Lytechinus pictus: one gene and its partners. The protein of the gene in region 2 interacts with the protein of the main gene of each other region in a biochemical or structural test. Links are inferred from orthologs where the notes say so. Each region holds a gene or a part of one and is shown on either strand. Other genes may lie near its edges. The genes, in order: mutS protein homolog 5-like, mutS protein homolog 4-like and DNA mismatch repair protein Mlh3-like.

Region 1 (6,978 bases), on a different chromosome or scaffold from region 2:
GTTGTGTATTTTAGGTAATTTGACTCTTCTAAACTTCAGAAATATATAAAGTGGTATGTTGTTGCAATAACAAAATGGTAATGAGGCATATTTCATTTTTCACTATTTTTCTTGTATTTTGGTACAGAATGGAAGACACATCTTTTGACCATTTTTTTCCAAAGTATACATATGAAAATAAACTTTTTATTTCTTGTTCCTGAAACTATCAAGCATGAAGGACTTAAAGTATTAAAAAATTCAAGAAAATATTGAATTTGAATTTTTAAGCTCATGTCCATCAACCTGTGGAATTGCCCAAATGCATAAATTGATCAGTATAGGTTTGAGCCAAATTGGAAATACCTTTCATTCTGTATCCCCTCATTTTGTCTGTCTCTGATATGGGCCGCAACAGCTGACAGAAATGACCCACAGACAAATTACCTCCTAATTGAAGGGTGGAAACTCTTGGAAATTGATCACATTTCTCTTAATTTTGGCCACTTCTGTTGTACCATATTTGAGCACAGGGGGTAATTTTTATAGCCCATTTTTACTTGATTGACATGTGCAGTTTTATTTCATGAAAAGTTACCTTCATTAATATTCAGTAACCTTTGTTTATTTTCAGTGAACTGATGGTATCTCACTCTATACCTATTAAAGCCAGATCAGAATATGGAGAAATCTCAGTTTGAAAATTGGACTGAAAAATAGGGTTTTGACAGTTAATGATATTAGCAATAAATTGTTTAATCAGTGATGCATTCATGGATGATTAATTTAACTAGGGTTGCCACCTCCAAGCTAAATGCTGAGTGCCAAGCTAGAAGGCAGAAGAATCTATTTTTAAAAGTCTGTGGGATGACACGGCCAGAGATAGAACCTATGACCCTCCTTTAATGAGGCAGGTGATCTGCCACTGAGCCACCAAGCCCATACACCATCCCATTATGTTTTTTGTGTTTTTTTGGACTGTCCGTATTTGACTTTGAAACCAGTCATAGTTTTTAGAACTAGACATTGCATTAAGCTTTTTGACTTCAAGGCCTCTCCCCTTCCTTCTGGTTCCACCCCAATATCATCCATGAACTTGTAAGGGCCTCCAAGGAAAACAGTATGCCAATTACTGATGGAGTCACCCTACTAAAAGAGACTTATAAATAAATAAACTTTCGACATTCACTACTGTCTTTATGTATAAATTAAGCCCTTTTAAAAAGTGGTATTTACCCGGAAAGAAAGGCTAAGCTTGTACAGTGACCACCAAAACCTTGAGATCACTCTTTAAGAACTTCCCATCCTGTAGTATTGTGTCAATCCAAATCACAGGAAGCATTTCTCTGTAGAATGGTGTAATTTAATGAAATCTTTACACGCAAACGTCAGTCTGACATTCCTGCCAGTGAAATTGATACAAAGTGATTTGTAGAGCGAAAATGTCATCATGGAGAGAGAAAAGGATAAAATTGAATAAGATCTCTATGTTTTATATGCAGTCAACACTAGGAAAGTGATTTTAAATTTAGGGGTTAACTTTTTAATCTAGTATCCTATTGTGCTTGAGATAAGTTATATAAGAATGAAGAAATAAAGATGATATCTATTAAAGCTTTTCTGTCTTATACTTTCAGAAATTGTTATTCAAAGCACCCACATGCAACCCCCTATTAAAATGTAATTCAAGCAATTATCTACAGATATAATAAACTCATAAGAGATGCCAAAGAATCGTGGTCTACACCATGAATTTATGCAAATGATATAGCAAAGAGGTATCAGCCAAGCAGCCAATCAAAACTATTGGTGCATGCCCAGGTTGTGACAAAGGGTTATTTTGGACCAATCAGGTTTCACTTTGCATTTGTGGTGTCCTGATGTGAGAGACATGATACAGAAGACAAGGCAGTAGGGAAGTAACAACATGCAAAAAAGAAAAAGAAAAACTCAAAAACAATCCAAATGATGCATGGGAGATAGAAATATTCCTAAGGGGACCAGGGAAGAAGCATATTCATTCAATTAATATTGACTATTCGATCAAGTTCTCTGCCGTAAGATGTCACAATCTAATTGGAGATAACACGCAAATGTCGGCATTGGCCGCGGAAAAGGAGTAGGTTTGTAAAACTTTTTTTGGCAAAGCACTCGGTCTTGGGAACTGTGAGCAGCTGGTCTCACTAAGACAGAAGAGATTAAAAGAGGAAGATCTGATTTTCCTCTTCCTTTGTCGCTGCTAAGATTGAATGGAGATAGATGAAATTGGAAGAAGCAGGAGAGAGAGGCAATGAAGTAATGGATGGGAGGAGAGAGAGAGATGGGGATAGATGGAGAGAGAGAGGGTGAATAGATATATATATAGAGAAAATGAGAGAGAGAGAGAAAGACAGAGAGAGAGTGATGAACAGATATAAAGAGAGGCAAAAGGAGAGAGAGAGAGAGAGAGAGAGAATGGTGGGGTTGGTGAAGAAAGAAGAGCTGATGGTATGTAAACACAAAAGGACTGAGTGTAAATGTTGAGTGCAAAAAGTACATGTAATTATAAAGAAGAAAAGGCAGCTATGTGCAATGAAATCAAGATTTGAATACACATTATTGTACTTTTTAAAATAACTTTTTAAGTGTTCCATTTGGAAGCTTATAATCAAACCACATACCTTAAAACAGTGATTAAATAGTATCTCGCCCCCCAGAAAAAAAAATAGGTGGAGTAGGCTGTATTTTTTAAAGGAGAGCCATATGCCCTCAAATTTGTGCAACCATCAATTAGGCACAAATTTATCAGGCAATGCACTTGAAGTATCTGACCTTAAATGTTTCTTTTGCTCTTGTTCATAAAAATTACTAATTAATTGATAATTTATCTTTATATTTTGTATACTCTAGAAGATTTCTTGTATCTGATATGACTAAGACATACCAAAAATTAAGCGGTAGAAAAAATCTGACATCATTGTCTGCAAATTTCCAAGGTGAAAGTGAAGAATAATTGATTTAATTACAAAATGCAGAAAAAACAAGCAAAAATCTGTAAAGTTGGTAAGCAATTTATAGTCTGATTGACAGTGCAATCCTATTGATTCATCCCTGCGTATAGATGATATCCCGTCGACTGACGTTCGTTTTAGTTCGTAAAAGGATGAGGTCTCTCGATAGATCCCGTCGAGCGATTAGCGCCCTGTGGTTTCCATCGTGCCGAACAAGGATACATCTAATTTTGCGTGACTTGCCAAGAATTACTGGCGGCTTGTCAACCTGTTCGAAGCAAGGACAGGAGAATTAATGATTTTATGCTGGTTATTCCCTTTCCTTCCAAACAAGATCCTACCATTTTGTGTAGGGTGTCGGGATGTAATAGGGAATGTGGTGTTAAAACAAGTTAATTAATGTAAGTCATATTAATCAGTTATGAAAAGTAAATGTAATGATACCATATGAACACTACCAGCTTGTTTTTCACGTACTAATATTACTTAGATTGGAAATAATCATTATTGAATAGATTATTTATATTGCGCACATTTCCACCTTGTTAGGAGCCGAAGCTGGAGTCAAGGCAAAGCAAGGCTACTGATTTTGGTACTCACTGCCTTTTGAGGAATTCCTTCCTGCCAGTAATCATTTACCTCACCTGTGTCATTGCCTATTGATTTCAAGGATTGTATCAAAGATGAATGAAATCAATGTGGTTCATTCACTTTATTCAAAGGTACTCCTTGATTTAAAGGAATATAAGTTTTTTTTCACATTCATAATTTGACTTAGTACGATGTCAAAAAATAGTAGTGATAACAAATTTTAATGTGGACTTCAAACATTGATTTGGAGGTTAATTAAAGTAATCTCTTTTCTTATCATCCCTCATTTTATTATCTTTGTAGATCCGTGCTACAGGAGGACTTCTTAAATTCCTGGAGAAGAAGAGGATCGGCGTGGAGTTGGAACAATCTGGTGTGAATAGTCCAGTTCTCAACATCAAATCATTCTCACTGTAAGTTTCAAAAGAGAGATTAATGATGATAACATACTGGCTCGTATTCTGAACTTGGGTTTAATTTTACCTTTGATCTAAACTTGTGGTTTAACTATGGAAAGCCAATTTTGACACAAATCTTCGAGAGTCCAGGGCTCCGTTGCATAAAAGTTACCATTATGGTAACTTTCCATCCAATTGTAACTTGCATGGAATCCTTGATTGTGATTGGCTGTTGATCGGCGTTACCATATGGTAGTTACCATTGGCTGGCACAGTGGCGTACCTAGGATTTTTCACAGGGGGGGCAAAATTGGCCGCCCAAAAATTTGACAAGCAAAAAAAAAAAAAAAAAAAAAAAAAAAAAAAAAAGGGGTCATCAATACAAAATAAAGATTTTCGTACCAGAAAAAATTTGACAAGCAAAAAAAAAAATTAATAAAAAAAAAAAAAAAAAAAAGGGGTCATCAATACAAAATAATTTTTCGTACCAGAAAAAATTTGACAAGCAAAAAAAAAAAAAAAAAAAAAAAAAAAAAAAGGTCTTCAAAATCTCGTCAGGGGGGGCAGAGTGCCCCCCCGTAGGTACGCTAGTGGGCTGGCAACATTACCATAATAGTAACTTTTATGCAATCTTTCAGCACTTTTGACACTCAAATCATTCATAACTGTCTGTGAATGATTATTTTGATAGCTTTCCTCACCCTCAAAGCATGAAGAAAGAACATCGTGAGCATAGGAAACATACAATGCAAACTAATTGTAAACGTTATTTTCAGCTTTCCAAAGTCTCAGCACAGAAGTTAGACCATGGACTAATTAAAACTGGACATCAGAATACAGGCCCTGGTCACTGGGCTGTAAAAATCTTGTAACTTGAAATTTTCAATTCTAAGAACAGCATAGAAAAAGCTTGATTTAAGAGTTCTGACCTAAGTGAAGTAGCAACCTTCTCTTTGCTAGAAAGAGCTCTCTACAGGAATTTTTTTAGACTTCATTCTTTCAGACAATGAGTTTGCCCCATTGTCATATTTCTGAAATTCAATCTTTTTTAACCTGCCTTCATTAAAAAAATGTGAAACAGGGTTTCCAAACCCAGTGATAGAATTTATCAAATATTCATTGACTATTTAAGGTTATGCTGTAACATCTGCCATAGCCATGATGGGGGTATTTCATGAAGCTTTTGCCTGTGATATTTACTAACAACTGTTATAAGCTACCAAAAAGCCTTTATCTGATTGGCTGAAAGCAAATTTGTCTGGAAATCACTAGTAAGGTGCTTCATGAAACCTCTCCGAATCTCAACAAACATAGCAGCACAACTGGTACAGCTACTGTAATCATGATAATGTGATATGATGTAACATGAAAAAACATGCTTTTTAATTAAATCAATCATGAAAATTTACCTGTTTTGGGTAAACTTTCAGTGATCTATGGAACTGTATACATTAACACATATATATAGATAAAAATTATGGAAATAAGCCATGACTAAGAAAGATAGTAAATACAGAGAAATGGTGGAATGGGAAACAAGGGGGGGGGGGTCACATGCACTTTTAAAGATAAGTTGAAATAGAGTTGAAGAGCAAATATGGGAGTAATGAATTAATGGAGAATTAATTTCACAACCATTGTTTCCTTCATTTTGAACCCCAATATTTAGGAAATTGAGTCAAAACCAACTCCTGAAATTGATAACTATTCAATGTTTTTATTTTTTTGCAACTTCCAATTTTCAAAAAGCCTTGAACTACTCAACCTCAACATAGTCGAGTGAAATAGATTCACTTTGTAATGCTAATCCATATTCATACTTGGAGTCACTTGTGTTACAAACATTTGGAATTTGAATCCTAAATATTTAGTATTTTATTTTTGTACTTGTACTATCTAGTGGGTGTTTCATAAAGCTGTTCGTAGGATAAGAGCGACTTTAAGAACGACTGGTGATCCTTTCTTGTGGTAAATGGTATACTCCATTGGCGATGGTTTAGCATGTAAGAATGGTTCACCAGTTCTTCTTAAAGTCGCTCTTAACTTACGAACAGCTTTATGAAATGGCCCCCTGGTCATAAATGAACTTAAGTCTTGAAAGCATTTTACAGTCAATTTGTTTTACTTGAATAAATTAAATTATAGCAAACAAAGTGTAATTATTACTTGCCATTTTAAAGTTTTTCTAAGTTTTCAGAAAGAGTAGTTCTCATGGCATTATTTTACAAATTTCAGATTTTTCATAAAGTTTTATAATCAAATCAGAAATGCACTAAAATCTTGAATAATCAAGCAAATGATCTAAATATCCACATTTGATTTTATTATCAGGTTGGAACCATTGGATTATATTTGAGTTGCGTTTGATCACAAATAATTAAGTGATATATGCATTGAGCTTTGTGAGAGAATGAAACAGGGTGACAAATTGATAAAGAGGATGTATTGAAAAGGATGCATTGCAGTTTAGAGCTATAGAAATATATAAAAATGAAGAATAAAATCTGGTGATGATCAGATGGTTGCGTGCTATTTACTTATTCCACCAAGTTCAACTGTTTTTAGAGCAAGGATTGTTTCTAATTATCTCTAGAGCATTGTGACATGCAGTTTATGACAGTTCATCATCCTGTCATCTTTCAAAATCTGTCTTCTTTTTTTTGGTCGAAATCCCAGAGTAGAAAGTTATTTCTGACTCGCAGAACTTCCGCATCATTCTTGACCACCAACAAAGTTTCCTTCCAGTTCTATAGGAACTAGTGAGTCAGGGACGTCCATGAAATTTTCATTATAATCATATGGACATAAATAGATGTGATGGCAACATCAACAATAACAACAGCAAATTAATGTGGTAGAAGTAGTAGATTTTGTAGTAGAATTAGGAGGAAGATGAGAATTAGAAAGAGGGAGAGGAGACGGAGGAGAAGAAGAAGGTGAAGGAGGAGGGGATCAAGACGAACTAGGAGGAGGAGGAGGGAGGAGAAGAAGAAATATGAGGAGGAAGGGGGGAGGGGGAC
Region 2 (7,446 bases):
AAGAATGGGGCCTAAAATGCTTCCTTGAGGGACTCCGCATTTAATAGGCAGTGAATCAGAAAGAACCATCTGCATGGTAACTACTTGATGACGGTTAGATAAACATGATCTAAACCATGTCACACATGCAGAGTCTAAACCCATCACTTCTAATTTCTTTAAAAGTATGTTATGATTTACAGTATCAAAGGCTTTTTGTAAGTCTAGGAGAACCATTCCAACCATGCGCCCATGTGAAATTTTGTTCCTGATAAAATCTGTTAAATGTATTAAACAAGTTTCAGTGGAATATCCGTTACGAAAGCCGGACTGAAATTTATATATTAGCTTGGTTTCTTGAAAGTATTTCTCCACTTGAGCATGAACAGATTTTTCCAAGATTTTCGACACTACACTTAATACACTTATAGGCCTATAATTACTAACGTCAGTTTTTATGTAGCAGGGTAACTTTTGCAAATTTCATATCATCAGGAAAGGTAGAAGACATAAGAGATAAATTAATAACATAATTCAAAGGTTTGTACAAATTTCTTGCCCCATCTTTTGAAAATCTTGCAGGTATCATATCTAGACCAGTACTTTTTGATATTTTCAACCTATTTAGTTAATCTAAAACAAATTTTTCTGTAACAGGGGAAAAATGAAAACTACCTTTTGAAATACCCTTTTCTTCATAAAACTTTTGAAATTGGTCACTTTCTGCATGAAATTTGTTTGTATTTATTACATTCTCCACAAAAGTGCACCAATAGGATTGGACAAACTTTCAAATTTCGACATACGAAAATTAATTAAACTCATTTGAATTCAGAAACTTTAATACTTTGAGAACACATAACAACAAACGGGCGATTTTTTACCCCAACATATTTTTCAAGAAATAGCATTGAACTTGAACACCTTTTTACATAGTTTTTACCACCCGTCAGATACGTTACCATTAGGCCTTAGACAAGAAAATCGCTGTGGATGTATCATTTGTGGACCAATAGTATCAGTAAATATTTCAAAGTAAACGTAACTAATATACACACATGATTAAAAAGTAGTTCTTGAAATTTGATTGGTCGAGATGTATCAAAATGATAGATGTTAGAAGTCTGTAAGTCAAAATCAGCGCGAAAAAAATAGTATATTTTCAGATAAAATACATAACCTAAATTGCAATTCATATCTCTACTATAATTTGATCTTATATTGCTTTGAAACATTAATAAAAATCATACATAAATACTGAAATTATTAAAGAAATTTCATTGTAAGCACACTTTACTACAGATTTCATACATTCTGAATTACAAGAAAAGAGAAAATTGGTAACGTATCTGACATACTTCCACAAAATTTCGTTTACTGTGGTTTATATCTCAAGATAACGATAAACTCAATCGTGCAATATATTTTACATCCAAACGAATTATCAACTACGAACATTCAGATTTATCATCCCGATTAAAAAACACTGCTCAGTAATGCAAAGTCATGTATTCATCTATAGCATGTATACGTGCATACATATAAACAAAATTTACGCAATAACATAATTATGTTCTGTTTGAAATGTATGAGCTAAACTTTTGATTTGAAGTGCACAATGTAGTCCATTTCCTTCTATAAACTCATTGATAAGATATCTAACACTATTAAGATGGAACAATATCATCAAATTTATTACCTGCGAGTGCAAGGCAAATATATAACTGTAATATGTCAATATGGTAACGTATCTTACAGACATCTATACTACAAAATGTTGTTACTGTGACTTATAATAGTAACATGCGTAAACTCACTCTTGCATTTGTCTTACATCAAAATGTTATATCCACCTCGAACATAATGATTATTTATGATGATCACCTTGACATAGTTCAGTAAGTAAAATTATGCATCGATAAACAAACACAGACAAAATTAACCTATATGTAAGACATAATTATAATACTGTTTCAAATATATGACCAAAGCTTTTGATTTCTAATGTGTACAGTCTATTATGTAGCTTTGTTAACTTTTAATGAAATATGTAACATCATGCAGTTTGGAAAAACATGATAAATTTGATTACATCCGAGTATTTAGACAAATATATAACTGCAACGTAGGGTAACGTATTTGACTGTTGATAATATAAACTTATAAGTAGGCCTACAATGTTATTTCACTTGGGCTATACTTGGTGTTTCGGCTCTGCTCCCAAAAAAAAGAACCTTCTTAAATTGTATAAAAGATCTCATTCTTAACAATTATTAACACTGAATAGTTATAAAAAGATTTGTATAAATTAATGTATTTCCACATGTTCTGTCATAATTTTTTTTTTTTAATTTAAAGAGAGCCAAGGAGCTATACGGTAGATAATGGTGGTAACGTAGCAGACACAACTCTCAAGTTATTAAAATGTCTTTGTAGCACATCTGATTCATCATCCACTCAAATATTTCGGTACATTAAAGCTTACACTATATTGACGGATTCTACTTTTTCATATTTTTGTACATTTAGAGAGCCAAGACAAAAAAAACTAGACTACGGAATCAAAATATTCTCCTTCCAAATATCAGTTGACAATTAACATTATGTTGCCGCTTGTACGTAATGTGACAAGTATTAAAGCAAAAAGCCGGGTAAAAAAAATGATTAGCATGATTTAAGAAGGAAAATACAAACCGGATAACAACCGACAGCAAGTAAAGAAAATATTATATTTCAAAATTTCACATTTTCAGAAAACATATTCTAATGAGCAAGTTGTTAATGTCATCCCCTCATAATTTGTCACGTTTAAATGACATTTTGGATTTTTTTTGCCAGCATTGAGGCAACCATACCCCTTTAAGATATGTCAGAACAAATATTTCAGAACAAATAGCATCTCTCATTCATTTTGTTTTTATTTGGGGTTAGTTGAATAGGAAAACTTTACTGTATCATATTTGATAAATGGATTTTTTAAAGGATTTCTGTAAATTAAATGTGGAGAAAATTGTAAGGGAATTACATCATTAACTTGCTCATAAAAAAAAATTAATAACGTCATTATTTTCCTTTTTTATCAAAATATGCCATTTTCATCATTCTTGCATCACAGGGAAAGGATTCCTTTTCTTTGTAGATTGTTCGAAAAATAGGAGGATATGGAAAGTGCATAAATACACGTAATGCTGTCCAAATATTTGTCTCCTGCAAATTCTAATATTGATCCTTTTACTTAATTTGTGCTTCTTTATATTTTTTGGCCAAATCTTCGATTAGTGTCAACTGTTCGATGGTTAACTCAGATTTTCTCTCCGACTTTCCGGATCTCAGCACGCGTTTGACCCATGTCTTTTTTTTCTCTGAAATAAACGAGAGACAGAGGAAAAATATCAGCATGGGAGTTTTATATGTACATTATTTTATAATTAATACCAAATAAATATAAAATAGTTAGTCGTCGTGTACATAAAAACATGACATTAATATCTAATAAGATACGTTACCAGTCGGGTAAGATACGTTACCGTGCCTATCTGGTAACATTATAATGTTCATGCGAGCTATCACACACACTAAACAATCGCATGCATACGTGTTAGATGTCTTAAGCCTATAACTGTTCCATCAACTTCAAATAACTCTCAAATGTATCATAATGTCAAACTGATAAATGAACTATATTCTGTTAATATTCAAAAAATGAAAATTCTTACCAACCACGTAGCTGGGATGAATAACAAACGGCGAGAAGCCTTACATCTCCCTCAGACTCTCAGCACGTAACGCTCAATGCTTTGAAGGGTGGAGAAGCACTAAAAGCGTGTGCAAAATTAGAGAATGCGCGAATGGGCCTATCAACGCGCAATGCGGTAACGTATATGACGGCCTTTAGGATCAACCTTGTGTTTTCACAAAATAACAGCCTATTCTTTCGTAACTCCCATGTATTACCATAAGCAATGTAGAGTGCTCTAAAACAAAATACATTATAACTTTGTTAACCAAGTTATTTTTCTGTAATAGAGCAAAGTTTCAGTAACGTATCTTATTTTACCTTATAATGGTAACATACACAATTGAAAACTTTGTGTCTGAAGATATTCATTATTATAGAGATTCAGTATACACTATTTGTATTTATATAGTCTTTAAATGGACTTCAATCACTACACCGAAATACAGATCACTGCATTATTGTCTTCGTTCTTTTTAGGGCGTCATACAAAAAGTAACGTATCTTATCCCGATTTGGAGACACCTTCGCTAAGACCGCAGGAAAAAATATACAAAAGTTTTTTCGCCAAGCAATATGCTTTTTTATTTAGGCACCGAAGGCACTATAAATTAGTGGACAAAACATGAAGTTCGGATATTACGGTAAAGAGCGGGAGTATGAAATATAATCACACAGGTCGCTGGAGACATGGGTATAATGAGCATATATATATTTTGTGGTGTCGTATATAATTTTTTCATGAGGTGGGGTGACCTCAGTTGATTTTAATTTTACTCAACATATTCTGTAGTATAAATAAAAGTCAAAAAATTGGTTTCCTGATGAATTAAATTATGGTTTATAGCCTAGACAAGGTTGGAGACACGAAAATATCCTTTGGTGCCCCTTTTCGGAGAATGGCCCATTTACTGGTAATTTACAAACTAGCTTGTCGGCCACAGTCGTAAAATAACGATTAAACTCATTTGCAATTTTAGCCTTATCATGACTTAATTCACCTTGCACATTAATAACCGTTTTTTCATCAGATTTCCCTTTACTTTTTAGACCTAAACCTTTCAAATTCTTCCACAATTTTCTAGAGTCATGTTTGTTTTCTTCGATTCGTTGTTGAAAATATTCGTTTTTGGCACTTCTTACCTTCCTTTGAACTAAATTCCTTAAAACTTTATATTTTCTTTCAATGTCTAAATTGCCAATGTTCCTTTTTTAATATTTTTGTAAGCTACATTTCTCTCTTTAATTAAAACAATAATTTCATGGTTCATCCATTTTTCAGTTGATTGCTTAATTCTTACCTCTTTCAGAGGTGCGCTCATATCTATAATTGATAAGAATATAGATTTAGAATTTGCCCAAGCCATATTTACATCGTTACATTCAGTTACCTTGGACCAGTCTGATCGGGATAACTTTAAAGTGAAATTATCTACATTAAAACCTTTTAATCTCCTGATGGATACAGTTCTGTGGTGCCCAAATATGGGCCTAACAATCTTTCTTGAACAATAAATTAATAAATGATCACTTATACCTAGGTCAATAACACCACTTTGACTAATATGCTCTACTTTACTACATAATATGTGATCTATCAGGGAGGAAGATGTCTGAGTTGTACGTGTGGGCAGCTTTACAAGTTGGCTTAAACCACTTAGATTAAGTATATTCTCATATTTCTGGGATAAAGGAGACTTTCGAAAGGCAAATATTCATGTCCCCTAAGACTATAATCTCATCATCTTTTCTAAATTTTTTAAGTGTCAGAGAGTGATTCAATGAAATTATTATCTTTAGGGGGTCTGTAAAGAGCACCCAGTGTAATGGGCTTTAATTTGTCAGAGGCAATAGAATATCGATCCACAATGATTCAATATTTCTTGAAGTCAAGTCTTCTCTTATATTAAATGCAATGTCGTTTCTTATGTAGAGACAAACACCACCACCTAGCCCACATTCACAATCGTTACGTAATATACAGTATCCATCTATACATACTTCTTCATCATTTACAGATGAGTTTAACCATGTTTCAGTGATGGCAATAATAGCTATTTTACGTTTAGAAAAAAGAAGCTGAAGTTCAGATATTTTATTCAATATTGATCTCATGTTTAAATGAATGAAATGCAACCCTTTTGTCTCAAACTTTTCTTCAAAGGACTTATACACTGTTGTTTTATCGGAAGGTGGGGTATTATTTACATGTTCAGTGGGAGGCAAAAGTGGTTCGTTATGACCAACATTTGTTTGAATGGGGTGCAAGAATAAGGAATCACAAAAAGGCGGTAAAGAGCATGTTAAACAAGTCCAACATTCATTAGGGTTGTAATATAATCTTGTGTACTCCTGTTCACTTATGCCTTCACATCTGGAATGGTGCCACTTATTACAAGTAGAACACCGGAGGCCAGTTTGGTTTTTCTTCACAGGCTTTTGACATTTTCTACATGGAAATTTATAATTTGGACCAGGATTTGTTTCCACATCCCCAGATAATAACAAAAGATAAGAAAAATGGTTACTAGGTGGACATAATTCGGCTTGAAAGGTTGCTACAGAGTTATGATAGTACAAAATAGGCGAACGGAAATATTTTAAACGCTTTATCGCTGGAAGACTAACATACTGAGAAATTGTGTTGACATTATGAGAACATATTATAGAAATTAAAAGATAAAGTACTAATACATTCATCTCAGTGTAGTCCCACACCAACAAACAGTGTTTAACAAAAGAAACAAAATACAAAGACAATTAAACGTGGATAAAAAGAAACTCGAATAAAGACGTAAACTTAACTACGATGCTACAAACTACAATACTGCATAAAAGTTCATAATATTCAGTCATAGAGTCCCTCAGTGTCGTCTACTTCAGCCTCGATCCTATGGGGCTCACATGAGTATTACAGACCCCCATTCACTCACGTGTTAAATCATAGCTCATCAAAAAATCATCAAAAATCAATCCTTCGATAGATTTTGCTTTAATTCACTGACATTAGTCACAATTAACAGTACATTAAGACTTGATATGTCAATCGGGTACTTGTCCAGCTCAATCAAAAGTTAAATGGCCTGAAATAAGACTAACCATAATTTCGGCCAACTGGGCGTTGTGGCGTGCGCCTGTAATCCAAGCTGTGGGGAAGTTACAAATTGATGCAGAGGTTCGAGCCCTGGTCACGTCTTTCGGATGGTGACGTTAAAGGTCGGTCCCAGACGTAAATAATCATATCTGATTGATACACGTCTGACAAAACTCAAATACACACACACACACACACAGTTCATTGCCAGAAAAACCCGAACTGCATTGTGGGTAATGATAATACAAAAATGCAGTCTAGCCTCCCCAAAGGCTTTAATTATGAAAGAGTATGAACATGACATTGTTTTTATCATTTATATTTTGATATTCCAACATTTTGTCTATTTTTAATGAATTATTTTAATCAATAAAGTCATGTGATCTTTACTTACGCCTGTCCGGCATGCTTTGCGTGCGGTTGAATTACTCTCATGTGCCCTATGGCACCCCTGGCAGCCAGACTTCTCCCCTCCAGCTTTCATCTGTCCTGCTCCTCTTAGATTCTCCTCCACGAGACTGGATATGGATCAGCTCCATGACAACAATGAGACAGCAGCAGATATAAAGAAAATTCCAATATTAAAAAATGTCATGGATATAATGGGACAATACGAAGACTGTTCTGAAGTGAGACT
Region 3 (7,067 bases), on a different chromosome or scaffold from region 2:
AATGAAGATAAAATTGTTCTCAGAATACTAATTCGGAGAGATTTTAAGGGTATTTTATCTCACTGATTTTAACGGAGATAAAATATTTTATTTTATCTGAGATAAAATGGATCTCAGAATACCACCCCTGAAACTTATATTTGTAAAGTTTTAAATATCAAAGTATGTTTTTATATGTATATATATTCCTCAACATATTTTTTAAGTTATCTTTGATATTGTTGTAGTCATATTCTTTCATATTCGTTTTTTGATCGCTACTAATTTGTTGTTGTATTGGATCGGCATTTGATTTCGTTGGCATGAACAATAAAATACGCGCGCAGCTCAGCTGCATGCGCGTATCGAGTTGACCTTAGAGCATAGAGATGTATACTAACTACGCTAGAGTGCGGAGTCACCATAGGCGCGCGTACTTAACGTCTGTGATTGCGCGGAGCATGATCGGCAATTGCTTGATAGGTATAGATTCGCAAAAGTACCTGGATGTACCCATAGACCGTACGTTGTAACGCTGTGGAAGGGGATGCTGTCTCCGGCTTTTATCTTGAAGAAAAAAAATCAAACCTAATTACAATTGAAAATATGAATGACAAATTGCATCTCAATAAATTATTATTGTGATTACATGGGGATTATGCTATTAATTTGTCTTTTTTTATCTGGATTCTCGGGATGAAATTCTCTATACAGTGTATTTACCTGCCACATGCCTAGATAATAATAAAATAACAATATTGATAATATGACATAAATAAGTAGAAAAAAATCAAACATACATTAAAAGTAAATTTTGACAATCATTTCAAAAGACAGAATTAGCCCATCTTCTCTGGACTTCCCTATCTTTGATACATCATCCTTTGGCACATTCCTTCGTCCACATGACTGTTCTCATGACCAATGATGGATATAATTTTGTAATTTTGATTCATTTCAACTCTATTCGTTTCACTTCACTTCAATTTTTTTTTCATTTTCATTCAAACATAATACAAAGTACAGGGGGCTCGACTGGGCCCCTCCCTGACAGGTATCATTTTGATCACTCAACAGCCGGCAATAATTGTGATATCTTATTCCAAGTATTTGTCAGTTTTACAATAGGCCTATCATTGCTTAATGTTTGATTTTTGTAGGCCTACTCACAATTTTGCAAAACTTTTTTATTTTAAGTAATAATATTCCTTGTAGTATAGTACAAATTAAAATTATATCCCACTCCCGCCCTGTTTCTTCTCCTCTCCTCCTTCTTCCTAGCTCTCCTTATTATTCGATCCTTGATTTGTTCACATAATTTGTCCAATCCCCGGGGGGGCCACTTCCATTCACGAGTGGATACCATGCGCGACCATGGGGTCTCAAAAAGCACCCTAAACACGTAATTTCCATAATCTGAAAATGCACCCCTTAACAAGTATTGGCGTGTGAATCCCTACCCTTAACAAGTATTGGAAACAAAACGAGATCATGGCAAATATTCCCTGAAATGAACCCCTAAACAAGTACAGGAATGTTTTATTGTTACGGGTCCTTCGGTCGTCGGCTTTACCTTATTTGGTTTAGTACGACCCCACCTTCTACACCTCGCGCAAATCGGACTCTAAACACGAAGTGTTGGGGCAAAAAGGACATCCTTTATAAAACATTTTAATTTTGTTTTATCATCCCCGCAAATTCGACCCTAAACACGTAATTGTCCTAGCGAAATAGATACCCTTTTTTCATTATTATTGCGTTTTTGACACCCTTATCACGTTACGTACGTAACGTGCCCTATCGTGAAAAAGACATCCTTTTTACGTGTTTTTTTGGTCGCGCATGGTATCCACTCGTCAATGTAAGTGGCCCCCCCGGGGTCCAATCAAAGGATCATAAACACCAGCGATATGTTAACAGAGTCAGCCGATCAGTATATTACTTCAGCCGGGGGGGGGGGGGATCAAGGCTAGATTTTCCAGAAAATCAAAGTGAAACTCTTTTATGTTGCGACACGCATTGCAATTTGTTTATTAGTGCCAGTCACGCTGAATGTGGGCTATCCACCGTATTTTATTGTATATAATTGTGCTTTTAATACGGAAATAAATACTACTACTACTACTATCATGTTATTTGCAAGGCAATACTGTAAACATAATTTCCCCCATTAGGCCTCCAGACCTGTACATTACAAAATTGTACAACGCGCGTTTTTGATATGCAAATTTTGCTGTCAACAAACTTTCTACATTGATTTGCACATAAATGATCGGATGGTTGCCAATATTGGAAATCTAAATCATATTACTTATAGATTCATCAATTAATTGGACCAATGCGTAAATCATTTTCAAATATCAATAAAAAGTCATTTTTATGACTCACGAGTTATTGTGATGACGGTTACATCGACGTTTAAACCCATGGGGAAAAGGGGCTATGCCCTATTATGATGTCTATGTGTCTGTCTAGTATATGGAAAAAATATAACAATTATTTTTAAAAAAATGAAGAAATAAATTATCAGCATCATGGTTATGCATAGGCCTACACATGTTATTTTTAATATTCATCCCTTCCAAATCATTAGAAAATAAAAGTCATAAAAATAAATGTAGCGACCTATCAAAATGTTTAATATGACCAAAGCAAAAACAATTGGGGATGTATCATTGGCCTGTATATTCGCTATTGATATTCCTATATAGGCATATTTTTGTTCTCGTTTTGTTAGATTTTTTGTTGATTTAAACTTTAATTAATTATATTCAAAACTATTTAACTTTTCCATTTGCTTTCGCGCTCATATGTCATCATTTTGTTCCGTTTCTGTGCTATCACTGTACATGCCCCATAGGTACTGTACGCGCATGGCAGGCTACGAATACCTATCGAGTAATGGCGGCCGGTCTCCGCGTAATCACAGCGATTTGACGAAGTACGCCCTCTAGCGTTATTAGTATATATCTCTATGCCTTAGAGCAACACGCTTGTGTGTTGCTGCCCTCTACGTTCGTTGGTTCGAATGCAAGATGGAATTTCAGGGAAGCACATTCATGAAACTTGGAAAAAAAATTGACAAACATTAAAAAACACAAATAAGGTAATTTCACCAGGATGATGATATTTGAAATTTAGAAAAGACACCCTTGCCATAAAATAGACAGGCTTATATGTATAATAATTGTAATAATAATTATATATATAATTATATATATATATTCTCAGAAATGAATAAATGCAAAATGTGGATTTGTTTGCCAATTTAAAATGATGTTGCTGCCTGATCAGCTAGGGCCTTTTGCTCGAAATAGTGTACCCATTTTATCTAGCCCATCTAAGAGTCTGTTTCAAACACATTGACAGATACATTCTGCAACCCAGAATAATCTGCCTACATTGAGGTGTTCCGAGTTCATTTTAACTATTTTTACTCCTATTCTATAGAAAACTGGTCAAGATTCCAAGTACACTTTTTTGTCTTCCGTTGAGTAGAATTCTCTTTGCATAATATGGAGAATATGGAGAATATAAGACCACTCATTTTTCACAATTTCACAATCAAGTTTTTTTTTCTTCAAAATCACAAAATTGCAGACAAGAACCAGGAAAAGCATAACATCTATTTAGTAGGCTTACGAGCTCAAAACACTCACTTTCCATTTCAGGTACAATATGAAAAGAGACGTTTAATACTAATTAATTAATTTCATTTCATAAAGCTTTCTCAACGATCTGGTGTTTTTTTCATACACAATGTCAAATGCACTCTTTTTTTTTTTTTTTTTTTTTTTTTACAAGTGCACATCTAGTTTCCAATAATGCATATAGCATTTCCATTTATTTGAAAGCAGGATAAAAGAGCATTGTAGGTTATATGCCTTGCTCACGGGCACAGGTGCCGCGGCCGGGGATCGAACCCCGGACTTTCCATGTATAGCCAGGCGCCTTAGACCACTTGGCCACGGCACCTCAACTCTTTTCTGCCCCCCTTTTTTTTACCTTGCGCCCTCTACAGCGCAGAGCAGAAAATTCGCGAATTTCAAAGTTTGGAAAGAAAGCCGAGGTGAGTGAGATGGGTTGCTTCATTTTGTTTCGCTGTTTTAAATGTGATGTTTTGTCCGTTTCGTGTAATTTTATCAATTATGAAGATGAAAATGGAGTTATCGAGTGTTCAATGTAAGATCTAGATCAAGACCACGTTCAGGTGCGTCCAGTGCAGTGTGCGTCTTTTCTTAATCTTATTTAGTTAGGCCCCCGTCCCCCACGTACTGAAAATAGTGTTGGTAAAATTTAAATTGTTAAGGACTAACGTTAGATCTAACATTACAGGGCGTCCCACTAGTAAAAGGAAACCCGTCTTCAGATATAAATTTCACAATTATCAAATATGTTTTTACTAGTATAAATTTGACACTTATCATTATGATATGGTAACCATAAAGAGTGGAATCTCTTAAATTTGAGACAAAAAGCTCAGCAAATATTTCACGTGTGGGCGTGGCCACTCCTAGTACCAATGAGGTCCAACATTACATGTATGGACCTCATAGGCGACATCAGTAGTATTTTTGGTTAGAAATCTCTGAGAACATGATATTTAAACATTATATCACAAGTACAAGCTATAATTCCTTTCTCTTATTTAAATTATAATTTTATAGTGTAAATGCATCGTTAGCAACAACAAAAAATGAAAGAAATGAAGGGGAACTTACATTTTCACGGCTTTTTCCTGATTTTCTGGGCAGCTGCTCTTCTCTTCTGACTCGCGATCGAAGCTGATATGAAGATCACGTGATTCGCGTTCTCGTCAGCTGATCGGTTGGTTATTCTTTTCGTCAGACGTTAATAATATATATTTTATAATGCTAGCATTCATCGCTAATTTAGGTGAAAGAGATTGAAGTTAAACAGCGCCAGGTCGGAATCATAATTATTTTGGAAGAGTGTATTTATACACTCGATCTCATACCTGACGTAGACGGCGCTATTCAACAAATGCACAATCTTCAATATAAAAAATAAAACAGAAAGAACGCCTTGAACACAGGCCAAAATGCCTAACGATTTCTCCGCGGCATTAACAACTATCGTAAAGGGCGCTCCATTTATCAATAAAGATGGACGCTAAGCTGTCTATGGCGACAAAATTTGCCGCAAATATTTACGAAGAATTGTGAGAAATGGTCTGAAAATGCAACAAAAGAACCGGTGAGTACCGATTAAACATTATTAAATTTGTAAATAGATTATACATACCTTGTAGATTTAGTTTTTAAGGTGATATTAGTGCTTAGTTCTAAGCTAGGGAGGCCCAAACGCGCGTAAGTGGAGTCCCAGTTTATTAGCACGGGTAAGTATTGGGGTGTCGCCTAGAGTGGGCGTGGCACTTAGCCTTGAGGACTTTGTGATGATATTTTTAAATATTTTGACATATACTTATTCATCAAGAAGCCTTGAAACCCTTGCCATAGGTACGTAAGCGAGACTTGTCAACAAATATGGATTTCCCTAGGAAATCCATCTCATCTTTGAAGATAGAAATCACGTAAATTTGTCTGATTTTATTTATCTATACACCTTCATGTGCCTATAATTATAAATGCGTATGAAGGTGCAAAAAAACACTTAGTAAAAATGTGAAAAATGAGAGGTTTCTTACCAGAACATTCTCGTGTAGATCCCTCGATCCATTTGTAAACACCGCACATACAATAGGCTTGACACTTGAACTGCTTCGTTATGACGTAGCTTCGATAAGCGATGTTACAAAATGCCGTTTTGAAGAACAATTTATAGATAAAAATTATTCTTTAACAAATAATAAATTTAAAACCTATAAATAATCATTATTGCAATAATAATTCTTTATAATATAATCAAGTTTCAAATTTTATTATTTGTTAAAATAAAAGGGAAAATTTGTGCAACTATTGTATTTCAATACTGTACAAAAAATTCTTGGCTGCTAGCATTCGCATGTGCGCATCTGGACAATAGCGGAGATCTTGTCTTGCCCCCTTTTTGATCCCATGATCCTTTGTGATAAAGGATAAAGAATATTTGGATAGATTTTATATCTGAAAGTTTTTGTAAATATTCTAAAGATCATCAATCAAGAAGAAAATGGTGAAAAACTCACTAAAACATGTAAAATGAAAATTCTGCTGTCTTTTATTTTGAATTCACCTCTTGAATTGGCCCATGGGTTTGGAAGGGGTCCTACATGTATTTCTACATACACAATTTTCCATTCAGAGAAATGTTGTTAAACTGCATTTCCTGTGTACAAATTTTTAATATCTATTATTTTCTTGCAAGAAAATGTGATATATGATAATTAAGAGAATAGAATTCCAAAGCTGCAATAATTTGATGGTTCTATATATGATTTTTGCAAATTATTGCATAGCCTTTGTGGAGTTTTGAATAGGAATAATTTGTCACACTGCAGTCACAGTCCCATACACAGAATCCACATTTTGCCATTGAAATTGAATGTTCAATAAGTGGTGTGTAGCTTTAGGACCCCTTACCTTACAAATGTTTTATTAAGCCTTTGGCTGTGAAATATGTTTTTAATAAACCATTTTTGAATTGGATGGAATTAAACATTTTGTAGATGTCTCTGATGTCGGTTTGTTGCCAAATGTCTTATTTGGTCTATTTTTTCTTTTGGTTTTATTGTTTTTTTTTTTGTTTTTTTTTTTTCATTTTTAATTTGTTACAGAATTTTCATGATGTCTCTTGATCAAATTGCTTCAATCCAGTTCCTGTCTCAAGATGTACAAAATCAACTAAGATCTGGCGTTGCCACACCATCAGTTGTCCAATGTGTAGAGGAATTGGTTGTGAATAGTATTGACGCTGAAGCTTCTTGCATCGCTGTTCGTGTGCATCTACCTGACTGTCAAATTCAGGTCGTAGACAATGGAAGGGGGATGACTAAAGATGATATGCTCTGTGTGGGTGAGAGATATGCTACAAGCAAATGCCATAACACAAAAGACCTTGAAGATATATCCCATTATGGATACAGAGGAGAAGCTCTTGCAAGTATAAAGGAAATTTCTTCAGTGTTG

Evidence for each region.
Region 1: the proteins of mutS protein homolog 4-like (region 2) and mutS protein homolog 5-like form a complex in vitro, tested with the Homo sapiens proteins (2 studies listed by BioGRID). The link is inferred for Lytechinus pictus from reciprocal best matches to the Homo sapiens genes MSH4 and MSH5.
Region 3: the proteins of mutS protein homolog 4-like (region 2) and DNA mismatch repair protein Mlh3-like form a complex in vitro, tested with the Homo sapiens proteins (2 studies listed by BioGRID). The link is inferred for Lytechinus pictus from reciprocal best matches to the Homo sapiens genes MSH4 and MLH3.

The regions. Positions count from the first base shown.
Region 1 is NC_087255.1:21,164,559-21,171,536, forward strand, and holds the start of mutS protein homolog 5-like, read left to right. Parts: upstream 1-3,858; 5' UTR 3,859-3,973; intron 3,974-6,978.
Region 2 is NC_087247.1:56,176,522-56,183,967, forward strand, and holds the start of mutS protein homolog 4-like, read left to right. Parts: upstream 1-4,405; coding exon 4,406-4,409; intron 4,410-7,446. UniProt on the Homo sapiens protein: Involved in meiotic recombination. Required for reciprocal recombination and proper segregation of homologous chromosomes at meiosis.
Region 3 is NC_087251.1:23,400,694-23,407,760, reverse strand, and holds the start of DNA mismatch repair protein Mlh3-like, read left to right. Parts: upstream 1-4,007; 5' UTR 4,008-4,048; intron 4,049-6,715; 5' UTR 6,716-6,722; coding exon 6,723-7,067. UniProt on the Homo sapiens protein: Probably involved in the repair of mismatches in DNA.